Sus scrofa: one gene and its partners. The protein of the gene in region 1 purifies or fractionates together with the protein of each later gene. This does not show direct contact. Links are inferred from orthologs where the notes say so. Each region holds a gene or a part of one and is shown on either strand. Other genes may lie near its edges. The genes, in order: KRAS, PRDX1, HNRNPA0 and C1QBP.

The links.
Region 2: the proteins of KRAS (region 1) and PRDX1 purify together in Homo sapiens (affinity purification with mass spectrometry; 3 studies listed by BioGRID and IntAct, with this or other methods). This does not show direct contact. The link is inferred for Sus scrofa from reciprocal best matches to the Homo sapiens genes KRAS and PRDX1.
Region 3: the proteins of KRAS (region 1) and HNRNPA0 purify together in Homo sapiens (affinity purification with mass spectrometry; 3 studies listed by BioGRID and IntAct, with this or other methods). This does not show direct contact. The link is inferred for Sus scrofa from reciprocal best matches to the Homo sapiens genes KRAS and HNRNPA0.
Region 4: the proteins of KRAS (region 1) and C1QBP purify together in Homo sapiens (affinity purification with mass spectrometry; 3 studies listed by BioGRID and IntAct, with this or other methods). This does not show direct contact. The link is inferred for Sus scrofa from reciprocal best matches to the Homo sapiens genes KRAS and C1QBP.

What each region holds. Positions count from the first base shown.
Region 1 is NC_010447.5:48,507,082-48,512,557, reverse strand, and holds the start of KRAS (GTPase KRas), read right to left. Parts: upstream 3,736-5,476; 5' UTR 3,577-3,735; intron 1-3,576. UniProt on the Homo sapiens protein: Ras proteins bind GDP/GTP and possess intrinsic GTPase activity. Plays an important role in the regulation of cell proliferation.
Region 2 is NC_010448.4:165,850,018-165,854,885, forward strand, and holds part of PRDX1 (peroxiredoxin-1), read left to right. Parts: intron 1-1,383; coding exon 1,384-1,537; intron 1,538-1,883; coding exon 1,884-2,006; intron 2,007-2,316; coding exon 2,317-2,447; intron 2,448-4,868. UniProt on the Homo sapiens protein: Thiol-specific peroxidase that catalyzes the reduction of hydrogen peroxide and organic hydroperoxides to water and alcohols, respectively.
Region 3 is NC_010444.4:139,779,440-139,784,802, forward strand, and holds HNRNPA0 (heterogeneous nuclear ribonucleoprotein A0), read right to left. Parts: upstream 3,578-5,363; 5' UTR 2,906-3,577; coding exon 1,997-2,905; 3' UTR 426-1,996; downstream 1-425. UniProt on the Homo sapiens protein: mRNA-binding component of ribonucleosomes. Specifically binds AU-rich element (ARE)-containing mRNAs. Involved in post-transcriptional regulation of cytokines mRNAs.
Region 4 is NC_010454.4:51,546,453-51,551,898, forward strand, and holds the start of C1QBP (complement component 1 Q subcomponent-binding protein, mitochondrial), read left to right. Parts: upstream 1-1,908; 5' UTR 1,909-2,013; coding exon 2,014-2,245; intron 2,246-2,810; coding exon 2,811-2,961; intron 2,962-4,466; coding exon 4,467-4,560; intron 4,561-5,446.

The DNA of each region.
Region 1 (5,476 bases):
GGACTGTCAAAGCTGGATGGTGCGCTGGGAAACTAAAAACTGAGACGCCAAAGCAGATAAGGACAATAATTTTTGACATTTTAATCTGTAAAGTATCTGCTGAGGAAAAGAACAGTGCAAAAACTAAAAGAACTTTGAGAATTTTGAACTAACTATTCAGTACAGATGATATGATCATCGATCACATATATAATTCTGTATTAGTGCTGAAAAATAGAACTTTGCACAAAAATGTAATTGTATAATATTAAAGGCAAGTACCGCTTTTAATGAAAGAATTTTTAAAAGATATAAGTGAATATTTCTCAGTAATGCACATGACTTTAATTCTCCGCTTCTCATCCATCATCTCCCAACAGTAGCAATAAATATTGCCAACTTGTAAGGTTAACAATGCAAGACAGAAAATATTCTTTTAGTCAGCTATTTCAAACTTTTTGAGATAAAAATGAACTTACTTACTTTAATCTCCTATCACTCAATAACTACATGGTACTATTACAAACAAGTAGTGAATTGCGGAGAGAATGGAAGTCGATGCACAATAATTAATACAGCATAAGCTGGTTCTAAATTAATGAATGTACAGATGTTGTATATAAGCACTAGATACAAAGGCAGCATCCAATTTACTGAAGACCAAGAATTATCCAAATACGCACTCCACCCTCTACCCTCAAAAAAGTTACATGGTTTTCCACATGATAACATATTAAACACCTCCTCACCCTCTTCTTGAACCCACTCACAAAGAGACAGGCCAAACAACTGTTGTATTACATTAGTGGCACCCTAGCCTGCTCTGTGCCACCTAGCCTTGTCTAGGGCCATTACAAACATGTATCATAATCTGTTTGCTCCCCCATTTTATTCCAAATATTGGCCACAGCAAATGGGATAGGTGAGGATAATCACACCAAAATGTATCCTCTAGCTCCCTGCCTACCTCACCCCACCCCACCTCCATAAGCAAGGATAACCTAGAACAGCAGTTTTCAAAATGTGGTCCAGGAACCCATTAGGGTTCCTAAAACTTCGGGGGAGGGTCCAAGAGGTCAAAAACTGGTTTCCTAATAATGCTATGATGTGATTTACCCTTTCCACTCTTAATCTTTCACAAGCATACCGGAGAATTTTCAAGACGTGTGATCACCACAGACCGTATACAGAAGCAGCTATGAGGATCCAGATGTCTTCTATTAAGCCATATAATTAGAGAGATTTGGAAAGTGTGAAACAATGCCACTCTTTTAATTTTTGTGTTTTGGAAAACAGTTATTTGTCATAAGAAATTCTATTTATGTTATCAAGTAATAGGCTTGTTATTTCCTTTTTAAAAAAATGAATTAATATTTCTTTAATTCTCAATTTTAATTTCTATTATGGTAAATACTGACATATTTCACACTGGGATCCTTCAATAATTTTTAAAAGTGTAAAGGGGTCCAGGTCCTTACAACCAATAAGTTTCCTAGCCTAGGAGAGACAGCAGGCAAATGCTCGGATTAGCGCTTAGCTGTACATACATGTGTGATTTCTGAAAGACACACACACCTTCTGTCACTTCTTCATGCAGTGGTTATTTCTAAAAAGAATCTTTGCTTGGATTTTAAAAATCAGGCAATATTTAAATCCACTAGAGGAGTTCTGTTGTGGCTTAGCTGGTTAAGAATCTAACTAGTATCCATGAGGATGTAGGTCTGATCTCTGGCCTCACTCAGTGGGTTAAGGATCCGGCGTTGTCGTGAGTTGTGGTATAGGTCACATACGTGGCTTGGATCTCTGGCATTGCTGTGGCTGTGGAGTAAGTCAGCAGCTGCAGCTCCAATTTGACCCTTAGCCTGGTAAGTTCCATACGCCATGGGTGCGGCCCTAAAAAGACAATAAATAAATAAGTGAATACATGCATACATACATACATAAATCCACTAGAGACAACTGGGTTCCCATGGAGTTGTACCGAAGACCACAGGCCAGAAGGAGCCCCATCACCCAAAGCTACAAAAGCTAGCACTGGGGAGAACTGGGATCAGAACTGAAAATTTTGTTCAGAAAAAAAATTTCCACTCTTTTCTGTCATAAAACTGAATTATCATTTCATCTATCTTCTAAAACCAAGAACGCCGTGGATGGATACAGTCCCAAAGTAAGCAGTATTGATATTTACCATACTTAATGTCTATAGTCTATTATATATTCAAGTCAGCATTTTGGACCTTAGTCACCTAAGAATGACATCACTCAGAGGGTTGATTCTGAGATGATGATTGCGAACAGACTTTTTCCCTTTGCAATTTCTTTTTTAATGATGTTTTTCCATTACAGATGTAACATACATTGTGTAAAAATTAGAAAATAACTTTCTGTTCTTGACTCCTTGTTTTGACCATATCAAGGTTTGAGAAAGCTAGTTTAGGACTTCAACTATCATGCACATGTCTATAAGTATTTCAGACAGTTAGCTGGCAGATTGCTACAATTAACTCCTCTTGTTAAAAAAAAAAATTGTGAGTGCTGTTTTGGAGGGCTGTAATAACTCCTGAGATGCGGATCAAATTTATAAGCATGAGGTAATCCAGAAGAGATGGGGGAAAGGACAACAACGGGCAAATTAAACTTCAGGTACGATTTTAGCTATCGCTGTCTACACTCCACTAGTAAAGAAAAAGCCCTGCTTCTGCTTTGCGGGTTTTCTGCGTGTGTTTTAACTTGACAAAGCAAATAGACCTTCTGGGATTAACTTTTTCGTTTTCACTAAGTCACAAGCTTTACGTTGTAGGGTGTTGGCCACCTGTTCTTCCACCACCATCACTACCTCCACCTCCTCCTTTGTGGCCACAGCAATGTCACAGCCCATACATGGGGGAGGGGAGCAGTCAGGAACTCAGCTGCAGATGCATTTTTCCAAACACAATAACCTCAAACAGTGGTCTCTAAGCACTTTTCTTTGCGCTTCCAAAACGTGACCTCCCCTATTACTCCCATATCCCCCTACACACGGAAAGGGGCCACTAGCCATCCAGTCTGCGCTCGAGGGAGAAGTTTATACCTCCGTCCGAGAGATGCTAGATGCAGCAGAGAAGGCAGTAACCGAAGCAGCCGAGTGCTGGGAAGGGAGGAAGAGGTGCGGGAGCGAAGGGAGAGACAGAGAGGGAAGGACGACGAGGGGGAGGGGAGGCCGGAGCGCAGCGGGAGTAACCTCCACCGCACCCGACCGCCCCGAGGGGCAGCCCGCCCGGCCCGCGAGTTTCTCCCCGGCCGCCTCCAGCCGCGGCTCTCGGGGAGGAGGAAGGAAGGGGTTCCCCGTCCAGGAAGCAGCACCAGCAGCGGCCGCCTCCAGCCTCACCCTCCTCAGCCCCGCACCGCCCATTCCTCATTCCCCGCGTCGCCGCGTCCCCGCGCCTCCCCCTGCAGACCCCCCCACCCTGCCGGCCCGCCCGCCAGGGCCCCGCGCCCGAGCCCCCTCCCCGCCCCTCCCGGGACCCCTAATTCATTCACTCGCCGCCGGCCCCGCCCGGCGCCGGCGAGGAGGGTCGGGACCCCGGCAGGGGCCAGGAGGGGTGGTCCGCTCCGTACCTCTCTCCCGCACCTGGGAGCCGCCGAGCCTTTGGCCCCCGCCGCCGCCTTCAGTGCCTGCGCCGCGCTAGCTCCCAGTCCGAAATGGCGGGGGCCGGGAGTACTGGCCGAGCCGCCGCCACCGCTGCCGCCGCCGCCACCGCCGCCGCTGCCGCTGTGCCTCCGCCGCCGCGGCCGCCGCCTAGGGAAATCGAGCTCCGAGCTCACCGATGAGTTCGGGGCCAGGCGGCCGCAGAGGGCAGAACTATCGATGCTCTCGGCGCTCGATTCCTCTCCAGACGGGCGTGCGGGGAGGGAGCGGCTGAGGGCGGTGTGGAAAGAGGGTAGAGAGAGTGCCGCCGGGGAGAGGGAGGAGGCGGGGCCCGGCTGGGGAGGGGACGGACCCGGCTGGCGGAGGTGGGGCGGGGGCCCGGCCCGCTGAAGAAGCGGGCGGCAGGGGCGGTGCTGGGTGGCTGCGCGCGGCCGGCGGAGCAAGGTTGTGGGGAGATCTGGGCGGCGCCTGGGCGGGCGAGCGGGCGCGCGTGAGGGGGCACTGGTGGCCCCACGCGGGGCCCGCCCCCAGGCTCCCGCCGCAGCTCATAGCCCGCAGCTGCGGACTCAAGACTCGCGCACCCGGGAGACGCCACGGGGACCCCTGCCGCGCCCCTGTGGGGTCCACTCGGAGAAGCTGCGAAAATCCCACCTCGCCTGGGGTCGGCCTACGCTTGGGCACATTCATTCACTATCATTTACTGCAAGTAAATAAACAAGCAGTATTCGAAAGTGGGAGGCGACGTGGGTGACTTAGAGAGAGACTGGGCCCCCAGTTCCCCAGCCCCCGGCTGTGCGAGCACGCCTTGGAGATTACCATTCTGCACTCTCTGGGACCAGGAACGTACTAGCCCCAGGTCCCAACAAAGCAGCACGTCCTTTCATCACTGTTAAGGGGAGGGGGTCTGATCTTTGTCGCTTTATGAACCTTCTGAAGCCATTACGGGGCACCCTAAACGGCGACCTCAGAGGTACCTATTGCCCCTGATGGCACAAGCAGGAGACAGACTGTTTTTAAATAGAAGTGCCCTTAATAGTCTAGACCTGAGGAGAATCATTCAAACATTAATTAGAAGACAGATTAATAAGTTAACGTTCAGGGAGTTAACACATTAAACAATGGAACAATTAAAACTGCTAGTATGCCCAGTGTCTGCATTGATAAACTACCAAGAAAGGTTTGAGAGGTTGATATACTACCTAGAAAGGTTTGGGAGAGTTTTAAAGACAGAGGCCTGGCAGACCAGCACCTAGACCTAATAGGACCACCCATCTGAATCTCTCTCTGCAGTTCTGTCCCTCTAATCCACATCATAAAACATGAATAAAAGTGTTTTTTTGGGGTGTGGGGGGTTGTCTTTTTAGGGCCAAACCTGTGGCATATGGAAGTTCCCAGGCTAGGGGTAGAATCGCAGCTGTAGCTGCCAGCCTACACCACAGCCACAGCAACAAGAGATCAGAGCTGTGTCTGCCACCTACAGAGCAACACAGGGCAACACTAGATCCCTCAATCGGGGTCAGGGATCAAACCTGGATCCTCATGGATACTAGTTGGGTTCTTAACCTGCTGAGGCACAATGGGAACTCCAAAACAGTTATTTTAAATCCCTACTATTATGTCTGTTAACCTAGGCCTTATACCAACTGCCTCTCTTTTCTTCCTACCCCTTCTGTGGGCTGTACTCTGCAAGGCTGTTTCCTTCCTGGCTCCCTCTCCTAACACCTGGTACCAGGTGGAAGAGGCAGAAGAGAAGTGGAAAACCAGGAAGGGAAAAGAATGCCGCTCTTGGTCTGGTAATTGCTAAATGTTTTGCACAAATCGTCTTATTTAATCATCACAACAGTCTCATGAGGTCAAATATTTTACAGA
Region 2 (4,868 bases), on another chromosome or scaffold:
CTCAAATAGTGGCAACTATGAGTCTGCCTGTTCAGTTTGTGAAATGCATGTGTCACAATTGCTGTATTATTAGGCAGAGAGCTTAGGCACATTCCTTTGACTACTTTGCCCTCAGAAAAGAGTTGATGTCACAGTTGGAACAGCTCCTTTCTGTTATAGTTTATTGTAGACACCTGGCATTCTCATGAGGCCTTTTTTTTTTTTTTTTTTTAAACCTTGCAATCCTGGAGCAGCAGGGCCTTCTGAGACAATTGAAAATATAGATTCCTTGGAATGCAAATCTGAAACTCAGGTGTCAAGTATACCTTTTGTAGTGGTATAGCAGTCAGTTCCTAGAGTTAGCTTTTGGGTAGATCTTATGACTAGATTTCTTAGCACATCTCACATAGGGGTTGGAACACGAGCAGGTCAGTGGGGCCCTATGGAGGGAGGCTTCTCCTGGCAAACAAAGTAAGTAGCACCTTAGGGAGGTGACCCAGGCCCAAGGGTAAAGCCATGAGGTTTTGGAAGAGCTCCTCTTTGCCCGCCAGGGCTTGACCTGCTGAAGCTTGTTAGGCAGAGCCCTGGAGAAGTTTGTTTAGATGAATGGTGTTAGCTTTCAAAGTGAAGTTCAAAAAGGAACAGCTAGTTATGATTTTCAAGCATTGATGCTATTTGGAAATAAGTGAATATTTGAAATTGTTCCAAACAGCTCAGCCCATTAGGTGTGGTGAGAGGCTGCCTGGCAGGTTGGTAGAGTAACTTTAGTAAAATTCCAGCTAGAAATCCTGTTACCTACTAGGAGAAATTTTTTTTTTTCTTTTTTTTTTAGGGCTACATCTGTGGCATATGGAGGTTCCCAGGCTAGGGGTCCAGTCGGAGTTATAGCCACTGGCCTACGCCACAGCCACAGCAATGCCAGATCCAAGCCGGGTCTGGGACCTACACCACTGCTGATGGCAATGCCGGATTCTTAACAACCCACTGAGCGAGGCCAGGGGTGGAGCCCACATCCTCACGGTTACTAGTCTGGTTATCACTGAGCCGCGTAGGAAATCAACTTAAAAAGGCTTCTTGGGAGTTCCCGTCGTGGCTCAGTGGTTAATGAATCTGACTAGGAACCATGAGGTTTCGGGTTCGATCCCTGGGTTAAGGATGTGGCATTGCCGTGAGCTGTGGTGTAGGTCACAGACGCGGCTTAGATCTTGTGTGGCTGTGGCTGTGGTGTAGTCCGGCTGCTACAGCTCCGATTGGCTCCCTAGCCTGGGAACCTCCATATGCTGCAGGAGCGGTCCTAGAAAAGACACACACACACACAAAAATAAAATGTCTTTAGGTTTTCATTGTCTATGAAGCAAGAAGTCTGTTTCGAAGGCTAATTTGTGGCTCCTTTTTTTTTCCCAGGAAAATACGTGGTGTTCTTCTTTTACCCACTTGACTTCACCTTTGTGTGCCCCACGGAGATCATTGCTTTCAGTGAGAGGGCAGAAGAATTTAAGAAACTCAACTGCCAAGTGATTGGTGCTTCTGTGGATTCTCACTTCTGTCATCTGGCCTGGTAAATCTCTTGGTCCATTTGGCACGTGGACTTTTGAACTGAGCAGTGACCGGGACTGGGCAGCTTTGGCAATAGACTTTCTCAAGTATTGGCCTCTGGCTCCTCATGGAAGGAGTGCAAAGGTGTTTTGACTTCCTCTTGTTGTTCTCTTATTACCTGGCAGCTTGGGTTGAGACTGCATGTACCCTGGTGACTTTAATTGTCCTTAGCTGTTTACTTTGCTGGGAAAAGCATGCAGCGTTTGGGGAGTTAGATTAGGAAGGTTGGAAATGGGAAGGAATAAATACAGTTAATGCTTTTGCTACAGAAGAATTTGAATGAATGTGATTGATTTTTTTGCTTGTAGGATCAACACCCCCAAGAAGCAAGGAGGACTGGGACCCATGAACATTCCCTTGATATCAGACCCCAAGCGCACCATTGCGCAGGACTACGGGGTCTTGAAGGCCGACGAAGGCATCTCATTCAGGTAAAAACCTGCGCGGGAGCTGACTGACAGTCAGCAAGAGAGTCATCTGATTGGCTCAAGGTTTTTATTGGAAAGGTAGAGCCCTGATCTGTAGAGAATTCTGATTTCATTTTTTTCCTGTTTTGTGGAGGGAATTGACGTACATCACTGATCGTTCATGGTCTCATTTCATTCTTTAGGCCTGAGGGCCTAAGGGGAAGGAAGGCCCATGTAAGTGCCAGAGACCACCCCATTTCAGTTTCTGCTCTGCTCTAACAGAGCCGATTCTAAAACTGCCGTCTCCCTCATACCTTGACTGTTTTCTCTCTAGGGGCCTTTTTATCATTGACGATAAAGGTATTCTTCGACAGATCACCATAAATGACCTTCCTGTTGGCCGCTCCGTGGATGAGACTCTGAGACTAGTTCAGGCCTTCCAGTTCACTGATAAACATGGGGAAGGTAAGCCAGGTCGCCTGCTAATAGGACAGCAGAATGGTGGGGTGGGGAGAATGGAAGGAACAAAGTCTACCAGATAAGAAAAGAATTTTTATGTCTCTTTAAGAAATTGCAGTCTTTATGGGGAGTTCCTGTCATGTCATGGCTTAGCAGTTAACGAATCTGACTAGGAATCATGAGGCTGCAGGTTCGATCCCTGGCCTTGCTCAGTGGGTTAAGGATCCGGCATTGCCGTGAGCTGTGGTGTAGGTCGCAGACGCGGCTCGGATCCTGTGTTGCTGTGGCTCTGGCATAGGCTGGTGGCTATAGCCTGGGAACCTCCATATGCCGCGGGAGTGGCCTTGGAAAAGGCAAAGAACAACAAAAAAAGGGCATTTGCAGTCTTTGGATTACTGTGGGTGGGTGTGGTGGGGTAGTGGAAAGGCTTGGGGAGGAGACTGTAAAGGCTTTTTGTTTCAGCTGCGTATTCCCAGCTCCTGCCCTGCTCATTTAGAATCGCTCACTGCTGCTGAGTCAACTTGTTAAAGGAATGTAGGAGCATCTCCTAGGTGTATAAGGGCACAACCAAAAAAGATCGAGACTCCCATCTAGAGAAGTGGGCTGTTCTTGACAGTCGTTTATTGGGAGAAGACCATATTCTTTAGATGATACTTGTTTTATTAGGGTTTTAAACAAGTTTTGAGATTTGGGAAATAAAAATTGGACTAAGATAACTTAACCGAAGACAATAGGCAGATAACAATTAATACTTTCTATCTTCTAAAGAATCCATTCTGTGGTGTGATGTGGTTGCCCTATTTGTAAGAATTGTAGTCACCAAATACCAAATTATATAAATGTTTAATATAAAAGTTATTTTAAAGGAGGAGTTAGGGCTAGGGAGTTTGAAGTGAAATATCAAGATTCTTCATTGTTTCAGGATCAAAGAATGTTTTTGTGGGAGTTCTCTCATGGTCTAGTGGTTACGACTTGGCGTTTTCAGTGCTGTAGCTCTGGTTGTCCTCACATCAAGTTGCCGCATGGCCTGGCAAAAAGCAAAGACCAAGACCAAGAAAAATGGGAGTTCCCAACATGGCTCAGTGTGTTAAGAACCTGATCAGTATCCATGAGGATGTGGGTTTGATCCCTGGTCTTGCTCAGTGGGATAAGGATCCAGCATTGCCATGAGCTGTGGTGTAGGTCAAAGATGTGGCCCAGATCCTTCGTTGCTGTTGTTATGGTGTAGGCTGGTAGCTGCTGCTGCGATTTGACCCCTAGTCTGGGAACTAAAGCATGCCACAGGTGCTCCCCTAAAAAAAAACCAAAAACCCAATAAAAAATCCTCCAAAAACCTAAATATAAAAAAAAATCTCCCCAAAGATAATGTTTTTGTGAGTCTGTCCTTGTAAAATCTGTGACTGAGCAGATTCAATTTGTTTTTTTTTTTTAATGTAGCATTGCTAGAGTGTAGGTCCTCCTTTTCACTGCTCTAGCTCTTTTCTTTTTTTTGTTCTTTTTTTGGCTTTTTGCCTTAGGGTCGCTCCTGAGGCATATGGAGGTTCCCAGGCTAGGGGTCAAATCAGAGCTACAGCTGCCAGCCTATACCACAGCCACAGACAGCAACGCCAGATCTGAGCCGCGTCTGCAACCTTCACCACAGCTCAGGGCAACGCCGGATCTTCAACCCACTGAGCAAGGCCAGGGATCAAACCCACAATCTCATGGTTACTAGTCGGATTCGTTAACCACTGAGCCATGATGGGAACTCTGAGCTCTTTTCTTATATAGTATCATTACCATGTTTTCACAAAGTTTTTTTTTTGTTTTTTTTTTTGCTTTTTAGAGCTGCACCCGTGGCATGTGGAGGTTCCCAGACTAGGGGTTTAATTGGAGCTACAGCTGCCGGCTTACACCAGAGCCACAGAAACACAGAATCCGAGCCGTGTCTGCCATGTACATACACCACAGCTCACGGCAACGCTGTGATCTTTGACCCACTGAGTGAGGCCAGGGATCGAACCTGCAACCTCTCGGTTCCTAGTTGGCTTCGTTTCCGCTGTGCAATGATGGGAACTCCCTTTGTTTTCATAAAGTCTTGAAGCACTTGATCCCATCCTTTGAATTTGTAAGGATGTGGCTTTTTTTTCTTTTTTTGGTTTTTATGGCCCCACCTGTGGCATATGGAAGTTCCCAGGCTAGGAGATGAATCGGAGCTACAACTGCTGGCCTCCATCACAACCACAGCAATGCTGGATCCTTAACCCACTGAGTGAGGCCAGGGATTGAATCTGCATCCTCATGGATACTGATTGGGTTTATTACCGCTGAGCTACAATAGGAACTCCCAAGGCTGTGGCTTTTGGTATTTCCCCACCTCCGCCCAGTGTATTTGCTGCTGGAATGAGACAGCCTTATCCTAACTAAGAGTTTAGATTTAAGAACGCA
Region 3 (5,363 bases), on another chromosome or scaffold:
GAGTTGACTCTAACTTACTCAATGTGCAAAAACATCTATCCCATTTGCAGTAGAGGAACTTAATATATGAACCAAGCATCAGCTACCCTTTGTCAAAGTGACTGCTTAGCCTTAACTCATCAAGCAATCTTGAAACCTCTCTATCTCTTGAAAGGAGAGCCCTAGCACTGGGTGTGTGTGTGGGGGGGGGAGATTAGCAAGAATTAAATCTTAATATAGTGACAAGAACTAAGAGAAAAAGGGTCAATATACTCCTTTACTTTTTAAAGCTCAATAATCTCCCTTCAGAAAGCTTAATACATATAGCTTTGGGCTTTCAATGCAAAATTCCAAGTATTTTACCGTAACATTAAATCAAATGTAGGTACTAGAATAATAGGTACTTAGAACACACCCACCAGGTTATACATACTCTCACTCGATCATGTAAAGAAATGAATTCTTTATTTGCGATATCCATAAACGTTGCTATTCTATATTTCTATCCAGGAAGGCAATTTTCTCCTATATCATTGTTTTGTTTTGCTTTTTATAAACAACAACTTGAATTCTATTGCATGAAAGGGCTACAAATATACATTTGTTAACCAAGCAGAATACACAGATGTTTTGCTTTACAACTTGCACCTAAGTAAGATACCAGTACACATAGCTGGTTCATTAGTTGTCATAGCAATTTGGGGCCACTGCCCAAGCTATGCATAGCAGTTTACATTTTCAAATCTCATGTAGAAAGGGCAATTGTGATATGGACTGATAACTACATTCCTGGAAAGCCCATCTTAGTTACAAGTAAATACATAACCAAAGTCTGCACAGATCTTCGATGGCAAAACTTCTAAATCTGATGCAACTGTCCTTGTTAAACAAGTTTTTAAACAAATTGTTTTGCAGATATACTGCCATTCTGCCAGTAGATGGTGCTACAAAGGTTGGGGGAAGGATTTCCATGAGGACATTTCAGCTATAGGAAAAAAAAAAACATTTAAACCTGCTCTGAAAATACAAAAATGCATTTAGTTGAGGGTAAAATAGAACCCTTATTTGTAACCATTCATTACAGACAAACCAGTAAAAGGGATGAATCTAGGCCATCTGAAAATTCTCAACAGTTTATATGAATGAAAACACATGCTTAACACAAACTATTTAGAACTACACAGTACATACTTTGAAGTAAATTCTCATAGAAAGAAGTAACCAACCATGTCAAGATGATAAGCAAATCGCTTAGTACAAGAGATGGATGCAGAGAAACTTTAAAGATTTTAAAAAGCCACATCCACCACTTCAAAAGTTTTGCCTGTAAGGGATAAAATTCAACACGTCACTAGCAGTGTAACAGGAAGGAAAAAAAACCCACAGGACCTTTTAAAAGTTTCTCTAAGTACACATCAAGAATTAAGAATTAACACGAAAAATTTTCAACATCCCTTAAAACGGTACGGAATGGATCCTAGGAAAAAAATGTTAGACATGTACGGTCAAACACAATGATTTATTAAAAATAAAACGTAAAAATGATTTTTGTACATATGCTTCCAAATTTCGGGCATGGGATCCAAGTAGATTTCATAGAAAACGCTGTAGCCAGGTATCAAGTCCTTACAACAAAGTAAACTACCCCCCCAACCCCCGCCCAGGTTTTGCTACAGAATCAGCAAGTTCACTCCCTCCCCCCCAAAAAAACACAAATTAAAACAAGACATTTTGCTAGTATAAAAACGACCAAGGTCCAAGTAATAATAAAAAAATAGAGTCCATCAATGACTGTAACACAAAAATGTGTATGTGGGGCCAAGTCCATCTTCAAAGGGAGAGACGAGAGGTGGCAGGCAAATAGGGCAACACCCCCACGGGTAAGCAGCCATACGAGTGGCTCCCCACCAAGGGCAAAATAAGGAAGGTGCTGGGAGGGGAAGGAACTTAGGAGTTGACCCTACTTGGGTGGTTGAAAGAGCTACCCCCATATCCACTCCCACACGTTTAAAATTTTTTAGAAGGAGCTGCCTCCATAGCCACCCCCACCGCCATAGCCGCCTCTGTAAGGTCCACTGTTACTGCGACCGCCCCAGCTGCTGCCTCCGCCGCCGCCGCCGCCGCTCTTCATGGGCCCATAGGAGGACTGGTGCTGGCTGTAGCTGCCGAAGCCGCCGAAGCCGTTACCGTAGTCGCTTCCACCGTAGGACGAGCCGCCGCCGCCGCCTCCGTAGGCGTTGTAGCCGCCGCCGCCGCCGTAACCCCCGTAGCTGTTGTAACCGCCGCCACCGCCCTTAGACAGGCCGTTCTGGTCACGACCGCCGCCGCGACCCCGGCCGCCACGGCCGCCCCGCGAGGACCGCGAGCCGCCTCCGCCCCCACCGGAGTGGATATCCTCCTTGGGGACAGCCTTTTTCACCTCCACGCGATGGCCCTGGATCGGATGGAACTTCACCACCGCGGCCTTATCTGCCGCGTCGTGATTCTGAAAATAGACGAAGCCGAAGCCCCGCTTCTTGCCCGACTGCTTGTCGGCAATAATCTCGGCCTTTTCCACGGTGCCAAACTGCGAGAAGTGCTCGATCAGGTCGCCCTCGGCCACGTCTCCCTTAAGGCCCCCGACAAAGAGCTTCTTCACCTTGGCGTGAGCACCGGGCCGCGCCGAATCCTCCCGGGACACCGCCCGCTTCAGCTCCACCGTGTTGCCGTCCACGGCATGGGGCGAGGCAGCCATGGCGGCATCGGCCTCCTCCACATTGGAGTAGGTCACGAAGCCGAAGCAACGGGAGCGCTTGGTCTGGGGGTTCACCACCACCACGCAGTCTGTCAGGGTCCCAAAGGCCTCAAAGTGGCCGCGCAGGCCCGACTCACTCGTCTGCACGTTGAGGCCGCCTATGAACAGCTTACACAACTGGGAATTCTCCATCTCCACGGCCCGGGCCTTCCCCCCGCCCTGCGAGCTCCGAGGTTTCGCCGTCGCCGTTATCGTTGGCTAAGGCCTCTTCACAGCTTGGGCCCAGCCGTTGCTGGAGCCGCCCCCGCCGGCCACCGACGGGGAAGGGAAGAAGGGGAGGGAAGGGAAAGAGGAAGAGAGGAAGGGGGAGGGAAGGGGAGAGGTGCCGGTTAGAGGGCGAGCGGAGGAGACTGGAAGACAACCGAGACCGCCGCTACCGCCGCCACTACCTCCGCTCCCCTATCTGGGCACCACACAAAGAGGCCGCTGAACGCGCGCGCACCCTCCCCGAGGCGTGCGTCACCGCCGACGTACGGCAGCCCAGGGCTGCTCGCCAATCCCCGCCTCGCACTCATTAGTCCCGCCTACCGTACCGCAGCGCCGCTCTTGATCACTGACTCCCCGCCCTCCGCGGTCTATTCAAGCCCTCGGCCTGTGCTGCTGCCGCCGCCGCCTCTACCTCCCGCTTTCACTCTCGGGATCCCCAGTGCGCCCTGACTACGGACTCTCGCTGCCCTTCGCGAACGTCCGTGATTCATTCGTTCCCTGCTCCGCGGCTGTTCCCAGTGATTTTTCCCCCTCCCCTTGCCGTATCCCCTCGCCCAACTCCGCAGTGGCGTTCGCGCCAGCCCCTTGAGAGACGTGTCGGTTCAGCCAATCACCGCGACCCGCTCGCACTCACTTCCGTTTTCGGCAGCCGCCGGATGGGCGCGCTCCCCAATGCGCGCTGGCCCCCGCGCTCCCCGTGTGCGGAGTTTGCTTGCAACCCCCACGCCTCCTCCCGCCTTGGACCTGCCACGGCGGGTGGGGGGCGGGAGGGTTGATCGGGGACGCGCTGGGGGCTGTTCCCAACGGATGCCACCTGGGGCGGCACGCGCGGGCTTTTTGAAAACTTGACTGTTGGGGTTGGGGGCCTGGTTTTACCCGCCCGATTTCGCCTGGCCGCTACACCTGGCGTCCTCGCCCCTCCCGTCCGCACAAAGATGGAGGGGAGAGGCCTAGTTGGGGAAGGCGGTTATTAACCGTTTCTAGGGGCCCCAGGCGCGATGAGACTAAAACACTGGCACGTGGCCCTGCGGGAAGGCGAGCCCGAGGCCGAGGACAGCGGCAGGCCGAAAACACTTCAGACTTTCCTACCGAGGCGCAGCGCGAGACCCCCGCCACCCTGAGGCCCTCCGTGAGGCCGTCCCGCGACGCCCCTCAGCCTACCTTCACGCACTCCTCCGTCAGCGGACATGTTCATTTTAGCCCAGTGTACACATCATCTTAATGTTTACGTCTTCTCTGCGTGCTTCCTTCCCAACTGAATCGTTAGCATTTTAAAGACGTTTTCAGTGGGACTGGGAGCGGAGGGAGAAACACATGCACACTGCGTAAAAGTATGCACCCTGGAAAACTGCCTTCAGGGCTCAGATGGGAATGCAAGAAAGTTAGAATGGCTCCCATTTATTGACCCTTTAGTGTGCCAACAAGATACGAGCAGTGGGACACAGTGTAAGACTAATTATATGATCAAGAACCCCAAACCATGTGGCTAATAAGAACAGGAATTCCTTACTGTATCCTGGAAAGGGATGTATTCAGGAATGATTTGTTAAAAGAGGTACAAGTTGCACTGGATCACAGAGTGAAGGGCTGGATAAGATTTCTATAGGGAGTTTATCTCAACAAAATCTGGAGGAAAGTTATAAGATACATATGCTCCCAGGGGCAGTTTAACTGGATCAGGTTTCTGATAGAAAAGTAAGATAGGCTGAGGGTCTTGATATTAGGGAATGTCTTGAAATTTAAAGAATATGAATATTATTAAAGGCATATAGATAGGCTGCAAAGTCTGAGGGCAAACTATAGCCTGGTTCTACCACCTATTAACCACTGAGTTGTGTGACTTTGGCCAAGTCACCTAACCTTTTAAAAATTAAATTGAGTTTTAATATCTCAAAATCAGAACATAAAACACCTAGCCAGTATGGTAAAATTTAAATGGGATTCTGCATGTAATGCAAAGCATAATGCCTGACACATAGTAAGTGCTCAATTTATCCAATAAATACCGAATGATGGGAATACTGTAGTAAACAACAGGCAAAAATCTCTCCTCGGGGAGCTTACATTCTTGTGGGGAGAAGCTGACAGTAAATAAGAATTATATACAGCATGTTAGATATTGGTAAGTGTCACTGAAAAAAATAAAAGAGAAAGATAATAAGAAACTATCATTACAAAACACAATTCAGATTATGTCAGGATTTGCTAACTGATTGATGATTAAAAAAAAAAAAAGGAAAATAGAAGCATTCCGGAGTTCCCACTGTGGCTCAGTTGGGTTAAGAACCCAGCATACTGTCTGCGAGGATGCCACTTTGATCCCTGGTCTCGCTTAGTGGGTTAAGGATCAGGCTGCAACACAGGTCACACATGTGGCTCAGAT
Region 4 (5,446 bases), on another chromosome or scaffold:
GTTTCTGTACAGAACAATGTTTATCACTGCAGCATTCTGGTAGAGTTTTTACCGTAGTTTATATTGGGCTTTTTAAAATGTTGACTTTTAGCACAGCTGCTCAGGGAATAAATCAGATTGGAAAAGCCAGTCCAACTCTCCATATTACTACAAAGACATACACGTTTGTGTATATGGAGCTGCAGGGGACATATAAATACCTTTTAAACTTTCTTACGAAAGTGCAATGTTTCCCAATGATGTCGCACATCTAATCTTGAACTATGCTTTTCAATCAATAAGCTCTCCAATGGTGTGCTTTCTACCTTTTTTCAAACCTGTGAAATCCACATCTGGGTGAATCCCTAGCTCCCTGGAGCAGCGTCATGTCAGTAGATGCACAGCAAGCAGGTGTTTGTCCTCCTGCGTCTAGTAATCATGGCGCTTGGAGCCTTCAAGGCAGCACAGATTTCATTACAAGGGGAAAAAGCGCCAACACCCAGTTCTTGGTAAAAATCCTAACTTAATGTTGCCTCTCTGTTGTAAAGAGATGCCAGAATGAGGACAAGTTTTTCCTTTGTGGATCCAACTGATTATGTACTGTGATGTCTGAATCCATTGAATCCAGCTCTCCAGAAATGAGTAGAACTATGACCAGGCATCTGAGGTACCACCCCTTGAACATATAAGGAAACAGTGCATCTATGGGGAAGCAAGAATTGTATTTGATCAGAATATTACAACTTATAGAAAAAAGCCCCCAAAAATCTAGTTCGGGTTTGTGCTGTATTTTGAGAGTCTGTTCTTGATCAGACATAACTATAGAAACATCAGCTCTTGCATATAATGCTCAAATTTGCACACAGCTATTAAATCCATTAAAAGTGAACCTTAAAAAAAAAAGCATACCATAAGTGAATCTTGTACGTGATGTGTGTGACGTGATGTGTGTGGCTTCTTTCTTGGGTGTCCTTTCCTTTATTCACAAAATGTTGTTTAGAATATATTGTTTTAGGAGTTCCCGTCGTGGCCCAGTGGTTAACGAATCCGACTAGGAACCATGAGGTTGCGGGTTCGATCCCTGGCCTTGCTCAGTGGGTTAAGGATCCGGCGTTGCCGTGAGCTGTTGTGTAGGCTGCAGACGTGGCTTGGATCCCGCATTGCTGTGGTTCTGGCGTAGGCTGGAGGCTCCAGCTCCGATTGGACCCCTGGCCTGGGAACCTCCATATGCCGCGGGAGCAGCCCTAGGAAAAAAAAAAGGAATATATTGTTTTATTTTCACCACTGATTTGGGAAGACTTACTTTCTTGATGACCCTGTGTATTTTACGTGCCCTGGTAAGGTAGGAAGATTAGTTTTCTTAATCTAAATCTAATGTAAGCTGTGAGGTTTTTGCCCCCAGAAAAATAATGTCCTGTTGGAACATTAAGGTGTAAAGTTGGAGAGAGCTGGGGAGTCACAGGAATTGATCAGGGACCTTGCCCTTAGGAGCGCCAGGCCTGGTGGGAGTGAGGGGTGGCTTCCAGGTAAACCAGTATTGCCAGGTTTCTGCCAAGAAAAGAATGAAACCCAGGGGCCGAGTCACACAGGCATGAGTCCCTGTGTCTCAAGGAAGAGGAGGAAGCTCCAGGAAGGCTTCCTAAGGGAGATGGCCTCGGAGGCTGGTCTTTGGGAGTTGTGGGTGGCAAGAATGCATTCCACGAAGTCATAGAAAACCTGGCTGTGCTTGAGAAGAGTAGATGGAAGTTTAGAGGGTGTGTCAGCAGCCACTGGAGAGAACTGATGCTGGACAATTGAACTCAGCCGACTCCGGAAAGAAAATTTAGTTACGCGAGTCCAGCACCGGAGGCCGCCAGCAGAGGGCGCCATCCCGCCCACGGTGTCTTCGGTCTGCAAAGAGGCAGCGCGGAAGCGCTTCCCTGGCAGGGGCGGGACTTCCGGCGGCGGTCCTATCACTAGGGGGCGCGGTGAGAAGGAGTCGTCCTTCTTGGAGTGAGTCGTCTTTCGCATCCACACGTGTCCTCCGCTGCCAAAATGCTGCAACTGCTACGCTGCGTGCCCCGCGCCCTGGGCACCGCCGTCGCCGGCCTTTGCGTCGCCGCGCCCTCCCAGCCGCTCCCGCGGCTGCTGCAGCCCGCGTCCCGGCTGTGCGCCCGGCCCTTCGGGCTCCTGAGCGTGCGTGCCGGGTCGGTGCAGCCGCCCAGCCTCCTACGGCCTCGGGGGCCCTGCGCCTGCGGCTGCGGCTGCGGCGGGCTGCACACCGAAGGTGAGACTCGAGCACGTGGGCCGGGAGCTTAACGGACCGGGTTCTGGGTGGAGCAGGGGGACCCGGGACGGGGAAGTTTAGATCTCAAGTGGACAGACCGGAGCCGCGCCCGAGGTCGGGAACAATCTCCCACTGATCGGCGAAAGGCGGGGTAAACCCACGCGAGATTGCCCGTGAGGGGAGAGATACTTAAGCTTAGTCTCTCGAAAATGGATTTTTGTGAAAGCCAAAGGTCGCGGGTAGAAGTAGCGGTGATGGTAGTTAGCAAGAGAAGTAGGGTAGTTACGAATTCTTTTGCTTTGTTTTGAAAAGTGGTAAGAAGTTTATTGTTGAGAATCACTTTTACAGAATCGAGCTCAACTTCTTACTGATAACTTAACGGCATTTTTACAGATGGGGAAACTGAGTCCTAATGGATATGGGTTGGTCTAAGTTCCTAGAGCCACTAATAGTACAAGTATTAGAAATAGCTCAAGTCCAGATCTCTGCCTACAGGAACCTGGGTCATTTTTCTCTTTTAGATTGATTGGTTCTTTTTTCTGTAACTAAGTGATTTCTATTGCAGGGGACAAAGCTTTTGTTGAATTTCTTAATGATGAGATTAAGGAAGAGAAGAAGATACAGAAGCATAAGTCTCTCCCCAAGATGTCTGGAGGTTGGGAGCTGGAAGTGAATGGGACAGAAGCCAAATTAGTGAGGAAAGTTGCTGGAGAAAAGTAAGTACTGGGGCCTGTGGACTCCATGACCCTGCAAGAGCTGCCCTGAGTCATCCCCAAACAGCCTTTAGTTGGTTGCTGCGGTGTAGGTCACAACTGCAGCCCAGATCTGATCCCTGACCTGGAAACTCCATATGCCAAGGGGTGGCCAGAAAGGAAAAACAAAACCAAAAACCAGCCTTTAGTTAAGGCAGGTACTTTGACACTTTCTGAGAGCTGAGAGGCCTTGTTTTGGTAACTTCACAAGCTCCAGGCCGTTCATCCGCTGCACACTGATGTGCTGTGGTGGTTAATGAGAAGGTAGTAAGAAAGTAGAAAGAAGCCAAGTAGCTGGGAGTCTGTTGGACCAGTAGAGGCATCATTCACTAAACCCTTACTGGTGAGGGAGGCCACGCCTTTCCTAAATCTAGGCATGCAAATTCAGAAATTCTGACAGTAGGAGAGAATCTCTGAGTTACAGGCTAGGAAAACAAAGCCCCTACTGTGTTTACAGTGGAGAAAAGAAGATAAGTGGCAGGATGGGGTATGGCAAGGGTTATCATTAGAGAGGTGGGAAGCCTTCCACTTGGTTAAGCTAAGTCCGCGATCCACTCTGGGTGAACAAAGGTTTCTGTTTGTGCTGTGAAGTAGGATTCTGGTTCTTTTTCACCTGGTGGTGTAGTTAGTGTGTTTCCCCTTCATAAATCCATCGTGTTATTCTGGAACTTTGCCTAAACCACTTGACTAGGGTAAGTCATAGGCAGTTTAAGGCCAGTGTAAAAATAATGTTCTAATGAACGTAACTGCAATTTGGTGCCCAGGAGCTCAGCTTAGTCAGCACTGTTGCAGATTAGACAAATTTTATGGCTGAACCTCAAACCTCAAACTGACAAGGCGGCTGGTTAGCACAGCCCGGAGAAGAACTACAGCGCACTGCGGCACACCACCCAGCACTGCTCATTCCAAATCTGTTTATCATTCAAACTTTGAAACGAGGTACCATGAGGTGGCGAGTCTTTTAACTTAAAATTGTCACTACTTGATGTTTGCAGTCTGCTTTGTGATTGTAACACTTCGCGCAACTGCCCTGAGGAATGAGCCTGTCCTGCAGCCTGTTCTCTGGGAGCTCTCCCCTCACTGGCTGCTCCTCATGCTCAGCTCATGCCACCACCCTCCAGGACGCCTTCTTCCTTCCTCCCAGGGGCAGATTTTCTGATGGAGGACAGCTTTTTAAAGGCTTTGCCCCCAGCTTCTCAGCTGTTCACCACCACCAGAGGGTGTCCTGGGAAGACTGGGACAGCAGTGTTAGCTGGCTGTGGACACATGTTGGCACTGAGCCCCGGATGCTGACCTGATGGAAGGGGCCCAACCATGACTGTCTTAGGAGCTAGGGTCTATTTGACGGCCGTCTGGCAGCACATAGTAGGCCCACCTCAGACCTGCTGAATCCAGCTGTGGGTAGGATGCAGGCACCCGCCTTAACTACTCTGTTGAAAGTACATTCTGTGTTTCTTTGGCTTTTCTAGGATCACTGTCACCTTCAACATCAACAACAGCATCCCACCCCCCTATGGGGAGGAGGAGCAGCCGTCGGAAGGGCAGAAGGTTGAGGAACAGGAGGTAGGTTTGTAGCACAGGAACCAGCTTGTGCCACCTTGTTCTGACAGGCCATTCTGGAGGCTTAGAGAAGGAGCCCTGGTTTTTGCTGTTTCCCGTCCTCTAATGCTAGGGGAGAGAAGGCAAAATACAGTCATCCTTGGGCCTTTTCTTATAAAGCACTAGTTTCTAGCCAGCTTTAAGCCGGGGACTCTGTGGCCCCTTTTCTTTCCCAGGGCCCAAGTAAATTGTAGGCTGCAGACTTTGGCTCTGTAGTTTCAAAGGTACTGAAATTGTCTCGCCTTTCTCATGATCAGGAGGCGTTTGGTACCCGAGATCACCATTTGGAGGGTTTCCACGCAAGGAATGTCCTGAGACACTCCAGGCTGACAGTTCACACCAGCCAGAGGCAGCACAGACTTTGGCACGGTTTCTCCTTAGATTGTCGACCCCCTTGGTTGGACCTGGATGGTGCTCAGTCTTCACACATTTAGGAAGCGGTGTACCTGGCCTAGAAACCAGCCAGTGTGAGGGCTACAGGGTCCCCAGATTTTCTGGCTGGGTGGGCATGGTACTGTCTCATGATCCAGCAGTTCCGCTCCCTGGAAGACCCCGCCTGCCCCCATTGCACTCACCTTCAAAGGAAGGCTTGCTGTGATTATTCAGCCATTGGGATGACCAGTTAACTAGAGGTGATTAAGCAGCCTTTGGTCCCTGGCTGTAAGAAAGGAAGAGCCCCCAAAGGATCTTGGAGCTTTAGGCCAGCTTTGCATTGTATGGATATAGAAACGGGCCCAGAAAGATTTAGTTGGCAGAGCTGGGGCTAGAGTTCAGATTTTCTAATTCCAAACCTCCCGTGTTCTTTAAACAAGTAGGGCGCTAATAGAAGTAAAATGCTGTACCAAAGATA